Drosophila melanogaster: one gene and its partner. The protein of the gene in region 1 interacts with the protein of each later gene in a pairwise test. Each region holds a gene or a part of one and is shown in the gene's direction. Other genes may lie near its edges.

Evidence for each region.
Region 2: the proteins of Setd3 (region 1) and Vm26Ab interact in a two-hybrid assay, tested with the Drosophila melanogaster proteins (one large-scale study listed by BioGRID).

Annotation. Positions count from the first base shown.
Region 1 is NC_004354.4:6,963,361-6,972,037, reverse strand, and holds the start of Setd3 (SET domain containing 3), read left to right. Parts: upstream 1-3,287; 5' UTR 3,288-3,445; coding exon 3,446-4,314; exon of another isoform or gene 4,315-6,245; coding exon of another isoform or gene 6,246-7,306; intron 7,307-7,738; coding exon of another isoform or gene 7,739-8,677. Other genes in the region: CG4586 (uncharacterized protein), read right to left, coding at 1-953, 1,062-2,020; CG14431 (uncharacterized protein), read right to left, coding at 6,246-7,306, 7,739-8,677. UniProt on the Drosophila melanogaster protein: Protein-histidine N-methyltransferase that specifically mediates 3-methylhistidine (tele-methylhistidine) methylation of actin at 'His-74'.
Region 2 is NT_033779.5:5,953,810-5,960,812, forward strand, and holds Vm26Ab (vitelline membrane 26Ab), read left to right. Parts: upstream 1-3,194; 5' UTR 3,195-3,256; coding exon 3,257-3,763; 3' UTR 3,764-3,830; downstream 3,831-7,003. Other genes in the region: CG9044 (uncharacterized protein), read left to right, coding at 1-668, 726-1,192; CG13999 (uncharacterized protein), read right to left, coding at 1,805-1,914, 1,972-2,225, 2,283-2,416; CG13998 (uncharacterized protein), read right to left, coding at 2,703-2,996; Vm26Ac (vitelline membrane 26Aac), read right to left, coding at 4,237-4,782; Vm26Aa (vitelline membrane 26Aa), read right to left, coding at 6,025-6,450. UniProt on the Drosophila melanogaster protein: Major early eggshell protein secreted by follicle cells into the perivitelline space and incorporated into the vitelline membrane. Involved in vitelline membrane biogenesis; forms a cross-linked network with other vitelline membrane components.

The DNA of each region.
Region 1 (8,677 bases):
ACCCCAGCGTGGAGCCCAGGACACGATCGTGAAAATCGAATCCATCCACCAGAGCCACCGCATTGGGTCGCAGCTTGGCCAGCAGCTCCTCAAAGCGACGCTCCACGAAGCGCAGTTGGGTGCCAGTGATGCCGTTGTTCCAACGCAGCACGCATCCCGACTGTCGCAGGAATGTATCGATGACGAAAAGCTCAACCAGTTGGCCCAAGATGAGTGAGACATTCGGGCTAAGATCGCCCTTCTTTCGAAGTGCTTCCACTTGCTCCAGTGCATTGCGTGTGAAGAATGCGTGAGCATGGGCTATGGCAGCCGAGGTGAGCTGCCTTCCAGCCAGATTGCTGGCCATCTCGGGACTCACCTTGCCGGATTGGTGCATCTTCTGGGTCTGCCAAGCATCACGCACCTGCTCCATGGCTGAAATCTCCAGCGCTCGCACACAATTCGCAACCAGATTCTTGCCCCAAATCAAACGGGCTGTATCCCTCAAATAGGAGACACTGGAGGGCAGCACCTTGCGTTTTAAGCTATCCGCATACTGCCGGACGAGGAAACGAGCTGTCTGGAGCAGGAGTACTGTGTACTCTCCCTCGTAGGTGTATGTGGCGGCGGTCAGACCATAGATGCTATCGAAATTCGCCGAGGAAAGGAATCCGTGGCCACCGCAACTCTTGCGCAGCAGATCAACTCCCTCGCTGGCCTCGTCGGTGGCCACCGCCTTGAGGCAGCAGCTCAGGGCGTGCAGCTCCGGCAGGGAGTTGCGTCCTTTCGTGCTTTCATCCTCCAGTTGGCGGAGTACGTCCTCGTAGAAGCGCCACAGCCAATCGGATACCAGGCGATAGGACACTCCTCGAGCAATTTGCGGTAGAATCTTTGCCTGCTGTGTGATGTGATCCAAAACAGAGACCTCCGGCTGATCGCTGTTAATCCGGCTCTGGCGACGCACCACGGAATACCTAAAGATAATGATAATTATTATCTAAAGAACCCTGGGTGAGCTGAATGTGTTTTATGGGCTTAATAACAGCTATGATAAACATAATCCCCAGAAACTATATAATCACCTGGTGGCAATGGTGGCAGCCTGGAGCAGTCCAAAGAGCACATCCTTCACGGTAATTACCCGCACATAGACCATTGTGCCGTAGAGCAGCAGCGGAGGTCTACCCTGGACGAAGGTGCCGTCGGTCAGGACTTGGGCGTTCTTCATCAGCATTTGATTGCGCGGTATCCGCACGTCGCGGAGTCCCAGAAAGCCGTTGTTAACGCCATTGCCACCCAGGCGAGGTCCTATATCGCCCACATCGACTCCAGTCAACGGTTCGTGTGTCCTCTCGTCCCTGATCCTCACCACAAATGATTGCAAGCCATAATGCTTGCCCTTCACATATAGCTGGGCCAGCACAATGGCCACATTGGCGGTATTACCAAGTCCGCCGGGCCACCACTTGTATGAACTTTGCGTTGGGGTGTTCAGGATGAATTCCTGCGTGATGGGATCGTAGTCGGCTCGGGTTTCCAGGCCCCGGACAAAGGTGCCGTGACCCAGCTCCGTTTGCGCATAGGTGCCCAGGACGCCGTCCATGTGCCAGGATCGATTGAGCCACTGGGCCTGCTGCTCCTCGGTTCCCTGGCTCAGCAAGGTGGTCATGAACATGGAGAAATGCACCCGAAGGGGGAAGCTCTGCTGGAAGAGGCCCGTGCCCAGGGATCCGGAGAGTAGCAGCCGAAAGTCCCTCAGCATATTCACACTAAGCTGAAGTTGTGGCTGCTTCTCCCGCTGCCATTGGCGCAGTTTGGCCAGGAAGCGTGTGGATCGGGCCACGGTCTGTTCGTAGCGCTCCTTGTATGACAGACAGCTCGGATGCACTGGCTCCGCGAAGTCGGGATCCTCATAGAAACGCCTTTCCAGGGCGCGGCGCTCCTCCAGCTGCCCAGAGCCACCCGCCCACCAGCGGGCAAAGTCCTCGCTGTCCAAGGTGGCCGCCGCCCGCTCTCTCTGCAGATCCGCATTCACAGACATGATCGCTCTATCTCTCCTTCCCGATCTCTCTTTTCCTAGAGTTTTACTTTTCTACGGGATTTCCCAACTTCTCTGCTCGAACGACTCGATTGCACTGAGAAGTTGGTGGCTGGAAGAAACAGTTCTGCAGCTCGAAACATGGCAGCCAGGTCACCAAAGGCGGGGATAGCAGGGGAATATGGTTGGTTATCAGTGATCCGAAATTAAAGATGAGTTGCCAATTAATATACCGGGATTCTTTATACATTTACCACATTATACTCATAAAGGATGCAGTGTATAAGCTATTTATGGATAACTTATACAGAAGAGGCGATCTGGAACCCCTTTGGATGGTCCATCCTGCCTACGCCTTTGGAGCCCCACCACTGCCTCTCTTTCGCGCTCTGCCCGCTGGTGCTCCAACCGCCGTTGTTGCTGCATTGGAGTCACTGAACTGAGAACTGAGCCACTCTCAAATTGCTTGAGCGCCTTAGGGTGGACCATATTCCGTATTTGTCGAAAGTTTCTCAAACTGCGTCTTTCTTACAAGATGCACTTATCATGTTTTAGATTTCGTATCCTAGGTTGTATATTTGGACGGAATTTGTTTCTTACTATTAACTCAAACGCTGATTTGTGTGTTGGTCCACCCTAGCCAAAAATGGCACAAAGTGCGTAAACATCTGATGAGCGGCATTATCTCCTAGTTTTTTAGTTCAAGTTTTTTTTACCGTAGATAAGAAAATCGTAAATATTTCTTGTTGTTTTTGTTTTGCAAAAACCCACAAAGCTCAACAAACAATTATTTCTTTTTCGTACAATAACATTTTTATTTCGTGGATTTCTTGTTATCAACATAACGTTTCTCAATTGGATGACGTTTAGAAAATCTAAGATAACCCTATGGGCCATTGTCAAATTGTTTATAAATAGAAACTAAAAGACATGGAAAGAGCGATTTTATTTATATAAATAAATAAATATATTATTATACATACGAGCTTCTGCAACCTGGATTTTAGGACAAATTCTCAATTTAAATTTCCCGCTCTTCAAGAATGCAACATAAAATATAAAAAAACACTGGCCATTTTAATAACTATAAAGAGTAATTATTATAATATTATTGATGTGCCAAAAATGCAACGTGAATTACAATTTATTTTACAAGAAAACATAAGTTTTGTAATAAAAAAAAGCTTAGGAGTACCCCTATTAAAAAGTTTTCAGCATAAAAGCTCGTCGAATGTGTGACCAATTGTCGGAGTAATTTAGTGGCGCCCGACGAATGGCCACACTGCCGGCCAGCTGATCGCCCGCGTGCAGATTTCTCGACTTTATTTTCCTTATTTGGCTGTTGTTGTTTTGGGCCGCCGGTACCGCTTAGCTTTCTGTCTTCCTCTCTCTCTGTCTTTCTCTCTCGCTCCCACCAACGGCACCGCCATGGGTAAGAACACGAAGCGCAACAAGAAGACAAAACAGCAGCAACAGCAGCCACAACAAAACGGAGTAACTGCATCCGCATCCGGCACAGCAGTCGAGGATTTTGAGGACCAGCAGGCGGCCAGTTCGTTGCCCAGTTTAAACGGCAAAAAGAGGAGCCAACTAAACAAGCTCGTCGAGGAACTGCTTGACTTGGTGGAAAAGCAACCGGCGAATCCCAACGAGGAATGGAAGCAGTACGGGCAGCTACAGGAGCTGCTCAAACAAATCATGATCCTGGAGGAGCCACTCAGCCAAGCAGTGTGTCCGCAGATCAGCGATTCCCCCGACGATCAGACCCGTCTGGCCAAAGTGGAGGCGTTCAGTGCGTGGGCCAAAGATGGCGGAGTTCACAGTGAGGGACTGGAGATAGCCATCTTTCCCGGCTACCAACTGGGTCTGCGGGCCACCCGACCGTTGGCCAAGGATGAGCTGGTGCTCAGCGTGCCCCGGAAGCTCATCTTATCCGAGGAAAACAACTCCGATTGCCGCCTATTTGGCAAAATGACGCAGGCCACCCACTTGAACCTGGCCTATGATCTGGTCATCGAGAAGATCCGTGGCGAGTTCAGCGAGTGGCGGCCCTACATTGATGTTCTGCCTGCCAAATACAACACCGTGCTATACTTTACCACCAAGCAGATGGAGCTCCTCCGGGGCACCGCTGCAGCCGCTCTGGCAATGCGTCAGTGTCGCGTCATCGCCAAGCAGTACGCCTTCCTCTACAAGTACGCCCACACCATGACTGAGCCGAGCACCGGGAACAGGAGCCATCCGGGCGAAAGAGGCCTCTTTTTCACGCAGCACGGACTCTGCTACAAGCTATACAGGTGAGTTTCGATTGAGATTTGGGATTGCAATAAAGGTGCTAAAGGTGCCTTAAAAAAATATCGCTACTTTTAAAGTTTGTTCTACTAAGTTTAAGAAGAAATATGATTCTGTGCTAAAAAGATGGCTTAAGGCCAAGTTTTCTGCTCTGAAGATCTTTTCAGTTGGCCTAGAAATAGAAATATTGTATACCTTTCCGGAATTCCATTTTTAAATCCTGCCCTCGTGTTGATCTTTCCCTAAGTGTGTTTTTCGGTTTAGTTTGGGCTTGTTTTTGCTGCAGAGAGGCCTCTGAATCTGCCAGTTGTCCCACTGGCCATAAATTACATGTTCACTTACAGCTGGTGCTGTTTGTTTTAAAGCGAGAGTAGATGCATATGGCCAGATTGCCCGACCATTGTTGACCTTCCCGTCTGGCATTGTGATCGCATTGTTTTGCCGAAGATCTACGATCTATTTACGGATCCGCTTCCACTTGCGACGGCTGGGTCATGGTGCACTGGGATGGGTCTGGTTGTGGTTGTGGTTCTGGTTCTCCACTCGCTTCTGTATTTATAGTGCCGCGATTTCGACACCAATCTTCGGTTGTGGTCGAAAACCCCAGCGAGTCATGCGGTTAGTCAAGTGCTTTCGAAATGCTTGAAATCTTTGCCACAATTTGTTCTACATTTTATTTCTCAAAAAAATCAAATTGAAACTTATTTACATACATATTTGAGCGTGCTTAAATATATAATTATATTTATATATATAAATATATATATATATATATATATACTGTCGCCAGATGTTCTACTGCCTAGTGAGAGGGGCGGGGGTGGTAACGAAAATCAAATCAAAAATAAAGTGCCTGCACTACGAAATAAATACAGGTGTTTCATCTATTTTCACTTCTTGGTTTTTGCAGTACATTTTGCGCATTTAAAATATTAGTGTTGTTGTTGTTGTTGCTGTTGGTATTGTTGTGCTAATGACCACGCCCACATAGCGCCCATTTATGCCTTGCCTTGATCTAAATTCAATTAAATTTTGGTATTTTAGTCAGTGCCAGAAAGAAGTTTGCTTCAGTTAAATCGTATCGAACACAGTTTTCTTCATTTTCTTTTGGTTTTTATTTATTTTGTTTTCGTAATTTCCTCATTAATATTTATTGTCCTCATAAATGGTTTTATTTTGCTTTCTCGAATTTCAATATTTATTCGATTTGGGCCTTTTTTTGGGAAAGTGTCTGAACACAACTGTACCTTGTTTGGCTAAGATCCTGTTCTGTTGTTCTGTATTTAAGTTAGTTTTCGTCTTTATCTCGTGCTAAGAAACCCATTTGAATGCCGTGTCCTATGATTTAGTTGATAGAGTCGCGTTAGTTGATGGATCATAATCGTACATTAGGTCTAGATAGTTGGAAACGATAGTTTGCCGAGCTTAGAGACTAGCAACAGTGCGCGCCATAAACGTAGGGCGGATTGAACTAGGTTTTGCGGTCTACAACGATACAAATGAATCAGAAAATAAATAAAGTAAAAATAAATAACATAAAGTGGACTATACAGTTTACATTCCAATCTGTCATGAAAATATTTAAAAATGAACACTATTCTTTTTAAACTGTATGTCTGCACAATCTTTTTGAACCTTTTCTTACAAAGCGCCTTATGGCCATGCCACGCACTGTCTAAATGTGTTTTCTAGGTTGGTTTTTTGTTAGTTTTACTTTCTCTCACAGAATGTTCCTCTAATCGAGTTCAAAAAAATTCCACCTCCTACCTGCTTAAACTAATTAATCGACTAACTTTTGCTCCTTCGCGTTAGAGTGTGTATGCTTGTGTGTGTTGGGGGGATGTCATTGTGTGTGTGTGTGTGTTAAGTGTACATTTATATAAAACTTGGCCTAAACAACGGTCTATTGTTACTAGAGGAGCCTACTGCCTATTGCCTAATTGTCGAAGGATTTGCGCAGTGTGTCGAATAGATATTCCTGCACCTCCGGCGAACTGGGATCCATTGTGTTCAGCTTCTGTTGAGCACTTCTCAGCGAAATGGCCAGGCCACGCCCACTCAGCGCCTCCGGTGGAGCAGGTGGCTGCGCCCCCGTTGTAATGGTGGTATTCGTGGTGCTATTCGTGGTCAGCGAGGTGGCGGTGCTCATCGTGGCGGATCCATCGCGGGCAAAGAGCATTGAACTCTGCCGCTGCAGCTGATGAACGGGCGTGCAACAGGCCACCGAAGTGGAGATGCTGGCTATGCCCGTCTTAGATCCCGATCCTGATCCAGATCCAGCCCCTGTTCCCGAACTGGATCCAATGACCAGCTCTTCCATGTGCTGGCGCATCGAGGAACGACGCGATGGCTGCGCCATCTGCGGCAGCTTGCTCTTCATCGCATTGTAGGTGCGCAGGTAGCTGCTCTTTCTCCTGCGCTGCTGTTTCCATCGGCACACGACGAAGATGACCAGGAAGGTGGCCAACGCGGTGACCACTATCGCCGTGCTGGCCACAATCGCGGACTTGATCCCGGATGGCATGCTGGCGTACAAGCTGCTCAAATGCTGCTGCGATACGGCGGATGTGGCCGCCGCTGCAGCAGGACTGCGATGGAATCCCGGACCGGAGAGCTCCAGATCCAGGAGATCGTGTGCCCGCGCCACCTCGTTCTCGATCTCATCGATCACATCGTTATTCGGCGGCAGCCGACTGTTATCCGCCATCGAGGAGGAGTTGCCGCCATAAGGACTCACGCTTAGATCAATGTCAATGCTGGTGGGCTCCGAATCAACGTTGGAGTCCGCCTCCTGGGAACTTCCGTCGAGCAGCAGTCGAGGCGGTGGCAGGAAATAAGGATTCCTCTCCTCGGTGGCCGTGGCCAAGGAGGCGAGTGCCAGCGTCTTCCACGACGGGAAGAATCCCAGCGACTTTTCGCCACGCGAATTGATCGAAATGGTTCCAGTTCCGGCTCCAATGGTCGCCGATGAGGAAGATGTCTGTGCGTAGGCGGGACCTGAAAGGAAAGCATTTGAGCGACAGGAAGCTGAACGAGATTAAGACAGAGCGAGCGGGGCGAGAAACGGAGGAAGTTATTTAGTCTTTGAAGGCAATTCAAAAAAGTAAAGGGTCAAGTTAGGAAGAATCATAGGGCAGCTGGCAGGCAGGGATCTTAATGGCTATTTATGTAAATCCATTTAACCAACAATTATTTATGCCATTACAATACAATTCTACTTTCTAATTGAACTTAAGCAAACTATTTGATTAGATTTTATTGTTTTGAGGGGCTTATGCCAACTACTCGTACTTTCAATATATATTTAGTTGTTGTTAGCTAATGTTTCTATATGTGGAAGCCCGCGAAGGAGCAAAAGACCTCATCCCGACCTTTCACCCCTCCTGCCACTGCCCCCTTTCCCGGCCCCGCCCCCTCTTCCTGCCACGCCCCTGGCCTCCGCCAATCGCTGGCGTTGCTGGCGCAACCTTAAAGCCGTAATACCTCGACTTCCCATCGGTTTGACCTCGTCATTTGGCTCGATATCGATGATGGAGGTGAAGTAGCTTGAGCCTTGCGAGTCGGTCTTGATCTCATCGGGCTTGACGCTCTTCAGATCCATTAGATTAAAGTGCGGAAAGTTCTCGAAGGCCGTAACAATGTCCATGTTATCCTGCAGCAGAACCTTCTGGCCGGGATACAGACGCGAGTGCTCATCGCCGCCGTTCACGATGGTGGACAGATGCAGTTGGCTAGAGCCGCGTTTGCGGTGCTCGATCAGCTCCTCCAGGGTCATGTTGCGCTGCTCCAGAACCTTAAACAGTCGATTACCCGACCGCCGATCCTCAATGAGTTCCAGCAGATCGGTGCGGTCGTCCACATCGTCTATGACATTCAATTGCGGTGGCTTTGCCGCCGATAAAGAAGGTGGTGGTGCATAGGACGGTGGTGGTGGTTCATAGGAGGGAGAGGGTGGTGGTGGTGGAGGTGGTGGTGCTGCTGCTGCAGGAGTGGGCGACCTTGCTGGTGGTGCAGGCGCAAGTGCTGGTGGTGCTGGCACGCGAGTGTGATGCGTGTGACTCTCCACTTCGTCGAAAAAGTTCTCCAGCTCGTCCTCTCCGTAATTAAGTTCTTCGCTGTTTTTGTTTGATGGTGTAGCTGATGTGGTAGAACTAGGTGAAGCCTCAACCGGATCCACCTCCTCACTACTCTCTCCATTATTGCTCCCTATAAAGTTATCCTTTAATCGCTTTTGATTCTCTTTCACACTGGAATTTCGCAGACGATAGCGCGGACTTCCGGGCGCAAAGGAAGGAGCAGCTGGTGGTTCTGGTGTCTCGGTGGGCGGAATGCCTTCTCCAGACTCTGCCTCACTGGAATCGGGTTCCA
Region 2 (7,003 bases), on another chromosome or scaffold:
TGTACCGCTGACAGAGAGCAGCTCGTCGGGATCCGTAACGGACAGCATATGTACTACCTACGAGCAGCAGGCCACTGATGCGCCACAAAATCTACAAAATTCCCTGCTCACCGAGTCGTCAAACAGCCAAGTTAGTGGTTCGGATGCGGAATCTAATAGCCGTTTGAAAAGCGCCGAGGATGCCAGCCTGCTGCCTTTCGCATCTGTATTTCAATCAACCAATCTGCTCATGTCCAGCTCAAAGAAGTTGATCGAGTCGGAGGCAACTGTTTTTGGTACCCAGCCGTACAAGTTTAACTACAGCGACTTTAATGATATCGATCACCGTCTGAAGCTCTACTTCTACCAACGAAAGTTCAAAGAGGATGGCGAGCATTTCAAGTGGTTGGCCAAAGGTCGCATCTACAATGAGCAGACCCAATCCTTGGGAGAAGGGCTTGTGGTAATGTCCAACTGCAAGTGCTATCTAATGGAGGCCTTTGCAGAACCCCATGACGATGTGGCCAAATGGCTGAGGCAGGTCGTCAGCGTGGCAGTCAATCGTTTGGTGGCCATTGATCTGTTGCCCTGGAAACTTGGCTTGTCCTTCACCTTAAAGGATTGGGGAGGATTTGTCCTGCTGTTGCATGACATGCTGAGGACGGAAAGTTTACTGAATTATTTACAACGTGAGTTAACTTTTTGCATGTTGCTTTTTTCCTAATACTTATTATATTTTTTAACAGAAATTCCTCTGCCTGAGCAGTGCAAGCTGAATCATCAACCATCTGTCACACTCAGCCATCAGTGGGAAACTATTGCGTCCGAACCAGTCAAGATGTGCTCCCTGATTCCCAGCTGCCAATGGATCTGTGACCAGGAGAAGAGCTCCTTTGAACCCTCCCTGCTCCTAATCACGGAGACACATTTGTACATCTCAGGAAATGGCAAATTCTCGTGGCTGTCAGATAAAGTTCAGGAAAAGCCCATTCAACCAGAACTTAGCCTTAATCAACCACTGAGCAATTTGGTCGACGTGGAGCGCATTACAGACCAAAAGTATGCGATCAACTTTATTGATGAGACGCAAAACAGGTGCGAGATATGGAAGTTGCAGTTCGAAACGCATGCCAATGCCGCATGTTGCCTGAATGTCATCGGAAAGGGATGGGAGCAGCTATTTGGAGTGCCATTCAGTCTCTCTGGAACGTGAGGAGCGAATTACACTAGAAAATTGAATATAGCCTGTACCAATTATTGTGCAAAGTTTAAAATTGTTGATCTTAATTGACTATGTTATTTAATGTCAGATTAGTTTTATTAACTTAGGCTAGAGCTTTCAATCAATAAGAAATGGTGCTGTACCACGATTTAAATGTAAATATTTATAAATATAGAGGTTATTATTTTTTGAAGTCCTTGCAATATATTCATATATTACAGAATTAAATCGTCTAAATTGTTTTATTTGTTGTTAGATGAATTATAGTTGGTATCAGTAAGTTGATATTACATATTTGCTTCTATTTACACATGAATAATATTATTGGAAACAAAAGAACTACAATATTGTCAAGGAATTTTGTTTGCTAATTAAATAATATTCACACGTGAGTTATAAATGTTATATGCATTTAAACTCGGTCGGATTTATTTTCGACTTATCTGTTAGTGCTATCTACTTGATAATTTCGGCATAGAGGTTTTTCATTTCTGTTTTAAATCGGATGTCTTTATAAACTATTATCTATTTCTATTAATTATCTATATACAGTACACTTCTTATGCTGACTCACTCATCGAAGAGTCCACTTAACCAGGTGTCTTACTTATCGCCCAGCTGATCTGCGATCCAGTCAAGATGCTCCTCCTTGAAGCGAGGATCTGCCATGGTCAGAGCCGTCGACTTGGAGCTGTAGTAATAGAAAACCGACACTGCGGGAAAGAGGAAGATATTAGGATAAGTGTGGAATGAATATTTCCGGAACTCACTGATGCGCTGTGCCACTGATAGGGCAATCAGACCCAGTGGCCAATGATGACCGTCCTCTTCTGGCGGCTGACGGTATTGGTAGATGATCCAAAAGTGCTGGGAGGCGGACAGAAGGAAGTAGATGGTAATGCTGGCCATGAAGAGCTTGCAATTCCGCAGGATTATGTGCGAGGCGCCGACCTGGTACACACACGTCGAGTGCAGGGCGAGGGTGAACAGCAGGTACTCCGCGATAATCAGGGCATCCTGAGTGCTGTGGTAACGTGCTGTGTTCAGAAAGGATATCTTCTCCATTCCCTAAGATACTCACACAAAGAGAATTATGGCTGTCTGCAATCGGTTTCTGGCCAGCGAAGGACCAAAGGCGTTGCAAAAGAGGTCCACTCCCAAAAGGGCGAACTGGAACAGGAGCACCCAGGAGTAGCGTCGCAGTGTTAGCTTCATGGCGGTGTCCAAATGTCAAGCGCTTGTTTTCGGTCAATTTGTTGCGTGCTGACTGTGCGGGGGTTTGTTGTGTCCTTCGTCCTGGTGACGTCAAAGCTACCACTGCGGTCATGCGCTGTGGATTTGTACTATCCCCTTATCGATAGACAGATTTCCATGGAGAACTGGTGAAACTTTGAAAACGTGTGGAAGGCATTGGCGGGAACAGAAATGGGTACGTATTTTTAAAGACCAGGTTACAAATTGGAGTCAGAAAACTATATATTATTCTGGGTTGCTTTTATTATCAGACATATCGAGCATATTCAAAAGGGTACTGCTGCCGTTTTCCCGATCGGAAGGTGTCCATTCTGCCAGCCTGTCGCCGGAATCTCCTGTAGTACTGCTGGTTCATCTCGGAGTAGAAGTTTGTGGGCAGTAGGTGAGACCAACTGTGGTCGCCTTCACCATTGTGGCGGTCCAGAAACTGGAACATCGATGCGGAAGTGACTTCGGCAGCCCCTGTGCGCCAGAATGGCCAGGTTGGATTTAAGGTCACCAGAGCCAAGACCAGAAACCAGAACGTCATCGTCTTAGCCATTTGTGAAGAGAGCTGTTTGGCCAAAACCCGGCACCCAATACCCTCCTCCAAAGTCGACTGCCGGTTGCAGGTGGTCAGCAGATTTCGAGCCGGGGTGCTTCCATTTGCATTTTTTTCGGAACGCTGTCGTTCTACTCCGTCAGTGCGATCAGCGTTTTCCGAGTGGGCTATAAAGTGGATTGGCTGGGAGGCTACAATCAACAGTCAGCCTTCGTTCGTCACTTCAGCAGCAAGTAGAGACAGCTCAAGAACCATCCGCAATGGCATTCAACTTTGGTCACCTCCTCATCGCCGGCCTCGTGGCCTTGTCCGCCGTGTCCTCGGAGACCATCCAGCTGCAGCCCACTCAGGGCATCCTCATCCCCGCCCCGCTGGCCGAGAACATCCGTGTGTCGCGTGCCGCCTACGGAGGATACGGCGCTGCCCCAGCCGCCCCATCGTACTCCGCCCCAGCCGCTCCCGCTGCCCAGGCCTACTCTGCTCCCGCTGCCCCAGCCTACTCCGCACCCGCTGCTCCCGCCTACTCCGCACCCGCTGCTCCTGCCTACTCTGCTCCCGCTGCCCCAGCTTACTCTGCCCCAGCCGCACCAGCTTACTCCGCACCCGCCTCCATTCCGTCGCCGCCGTGCCCCAAGAACTACCTGTTCAGCTGCCAGCCCTCCCTGCAGCCCGTGCCCTGCTCCGCCCCAGCTCAGTCCTACGGATCCGCCGGTGCCTACTCCCAGTACGTGCCCCAGTACGCCGTGCCCTTCGTCCGCGAACTTTAAGGATCGAAACGAATCTGACTTGACATCTGAACCTAAGAATAAAGTAATGCTTTCATAAAAAACATTTAAGATATTTTATTGAAGGGGTATCAAGGGTTTTATTGCTTTTCTACAAGCTATTAAAAAAGTTTCAGCTCTCTGAAATAAATATAATTATTACCGATATGATGCAACAAATTTAAGGTTTTGTGTTTTACTAGTACACCTTTTTTTAAAAAGAACAAATTCGTATATGCAAAACGAGTAATGGGCTGTAAGCAATTTTGAAATTCTAGAACACTTTAGATATATCTTGTTATTTATCGTCTTAGCAATGATTAAAGCGGCACAAAAAGTTGCTCCCAATTTTGGTCTAAAACTAATCCTGTTTATATATTTAATAGTGCCAAACAGAAGTCTTAAATAAATAATAAATATTAAAAAGATTAAAATATTGTTTAAAATTTTCACTTTATTAAAAATCAGCTAGTTCATCAATATGAGCTGTACCCACATGGAACCGGCTTGATAACCGCTTCGCAGGAGAACACATAGTTCTTTGGGCAAGCTGGAGAAGGAACTTCACTGAGTGTGGTTTGTTGTTGGTATGTTCCCTGAACCGGTACCTGGGCCTCATCCTGGTCGTAGCTGCGAGCGAAGCCAAATTTGCCACGTCCAAAACCAGGACCTCCGAAGCCGGGACCTCCGAAACCGGGACCTCCAAAGCCGGGACGTCCAAAGCCAGGGCCTCCGAAGCCCGGACCTCCGAAGCCAGGACCTCCAAAACCAGGTCCTCCAAAACCAGGTCCACCAAACCCGGGACCACCAAAGTTGTTCTCCACGATTACCTCCTGTACGATTTGCTGTTGCCTCCTCCTACGGTTCAGATACGCATCCGAGGGCTCGACAGCTGATGATCTCGATGGCAGGCTCCTTAAGCACCCTGTACTTCCTCCACAGGTCGAGGCTTCCAAACCAGCCTGCTGACCCAGAGAACTCGCTCCGGCCAAAAGGGCAAAGAATCCGAGATACTTCCACATGCTGACTTGATATGGTGGCGTTGCAAGCTGAGAAAGCCGAGATGCGGCGTTGTTCAAGTGGCTTTTATAACCTCATGCCACCAGAAGTGCACAACGAAGCGGAAACGGAGATGGCCAAGGTAACACCCAACAAGTGGGTCACTTGGTCGCACATTCCAGAGGGCGAGTGGGATCAGAATTGGGGCGAAGTTGGAAGTTCGAGAAAATGGGCCATTGGCTAGAAGGGGTTAATCCGCTGGGAGGGCCCAAGTCACTACTTGGCTGGGCTCGGAAACCCTACGAGCACCTGAAACCCGAAGGTCAGCACATTGTAGCCACTGCTGCTTTCCGGCTTGTAGGCTGACCGACCAGTCAAGCGATTGATGATGGGATCCGATATCGCATTACCCAATCGCTTGCACTTTTCACTTTTCAATTTTCCGCTTTGTCGCTGATTCGGATGTGTCGCAAGCATTTCTTCTAGCTAAAATATACATTTATGTACAATTTAATAACTATTTTGTTTGGTACCAGCATTTCCTGCAGTTCAGTGACCCACAACGAGCTGCTTGGCACAAAGGTTAAAAACTGAAAGTTTGCTTAGTTACAATCACCTGTATCTGGCGGATGTAGATTTAATCGGATTGGGAAAAGCTGGAGGCAGTAGCCGAAACTACATTTCCTTTTTCAGGAATTTAATAGCTAACGATTTTAAAATGGTTTTATGGTGGTTATAAAATGGTTATAAAATAAATTATTTTAGTACAAGTTATATAAGTTAACTTGGAGAATAAAAACATTGGGTTTACTTCAATGATAAACGTTGATTAGGTTACTAAAATAAATTTTGTCGTCAATTATCTAGTAAGATGATAAAAAGACAGTGCAGCAAATATACTTAAATGCTTCATTTTGGGAATGTTTAAAGAAAATGTTATACTTGGGACTTTTAATATATATAAAGTTATATCAGAATATATATCTTTTATCAAACAACAGCCTGGTAGAATAATAATATGATTTTGTTATTACCAACATTATCTTGGAATGATAATCTAGGCTTGGTCTTCTTCTATTGGTTGCTAGAAACTACAATAGTTATACCCTTAGTAAGAACAATTCATGATTTAGCTTTTTTTTAGTGATTTAATTGCAGTACATATTTTTGGGTATATTTTTTGTCAAATCCATCAAAGCTTATGTTTCTCGGCAGTCGGTTCGTGGTCCTTGGGCGATGATCGCAGTCGCAGTCGGAGCAGGTGCTTAGTACTGGTAGCCATAGGTCTGGGGCACGTAGGCGCTGTACAGCTGCTGCTGGTGCTGGGGCACGCCGTAGTTGGGGGCGACGTAGGTGGCCACCGGGGAGGAGTAGGCGCCGGCGGATCCGTAGCTGGGAGCTGGAGCGCTGCATGGCACGGGGGCAAGGTTGGGCTGGCAGCTGAACAGGTAGTTCTTGGGGCAGGGAGGAGCTGGGATGCTGGAGCCGCCATAGCCGCCGGAGCTGCCGCCGTAGGCAGACTTACGGAGACGGGTCAGGTCACCGAATCCCTGTCCGGTCACTCCCTCCAGCTCTCCGTCCTGGGTGGTCACCGAGGAGCCAGTGGAGCCGGTGGCCGAAGCCACGTTGGTGGGCGAAGCCAGAGCGGCGGCGGCGAAGGCGACCAGAGCGATGCACACGAAGGATTTCATCTTGGTTGTTGGTGGTTGAAGATTGAGCTGGAGGCGGATGGGAGCTGGTTGGGCTGCTGGTAGTTACCAAAGGTGACTGATGCCAATACCATTCAATTGGCCATCTTTTATAGCTGTCCAATCTGCCTAGTTAGCACTACGTTCAGAACATAATGGCTAGGTCTACTCTTCGTTTTTGCCTTGATTACTTTTCTGCTCCATCAGCCCAATGGACAATTGTATACCGCTGACTTTAGTAGCTTCACATCGACAGCTTTTTGGGGTCATCAGCGGGCAGAGGAACGTTTAGGTTGGCGATTTGTGGTTGATATCTAGTGCGTTGCACTTTAAAAGTGGTGGGAGTGATAAAAGAGCACGACCCCCTTTCGAAGAAAAAATGTTAACAAATTAAATTTCAGACTTGTAACTTCTGTAATTAATGATATGACCCGGGGCACAAGATACTATTTGTTCAATAGAACCAACAAATCTTCTTAATATATTCTTTATATAATAAATGTTTCTTATATTTTAACTATTTTATAATGCATGTCAAAGACAACATTTCAATAAC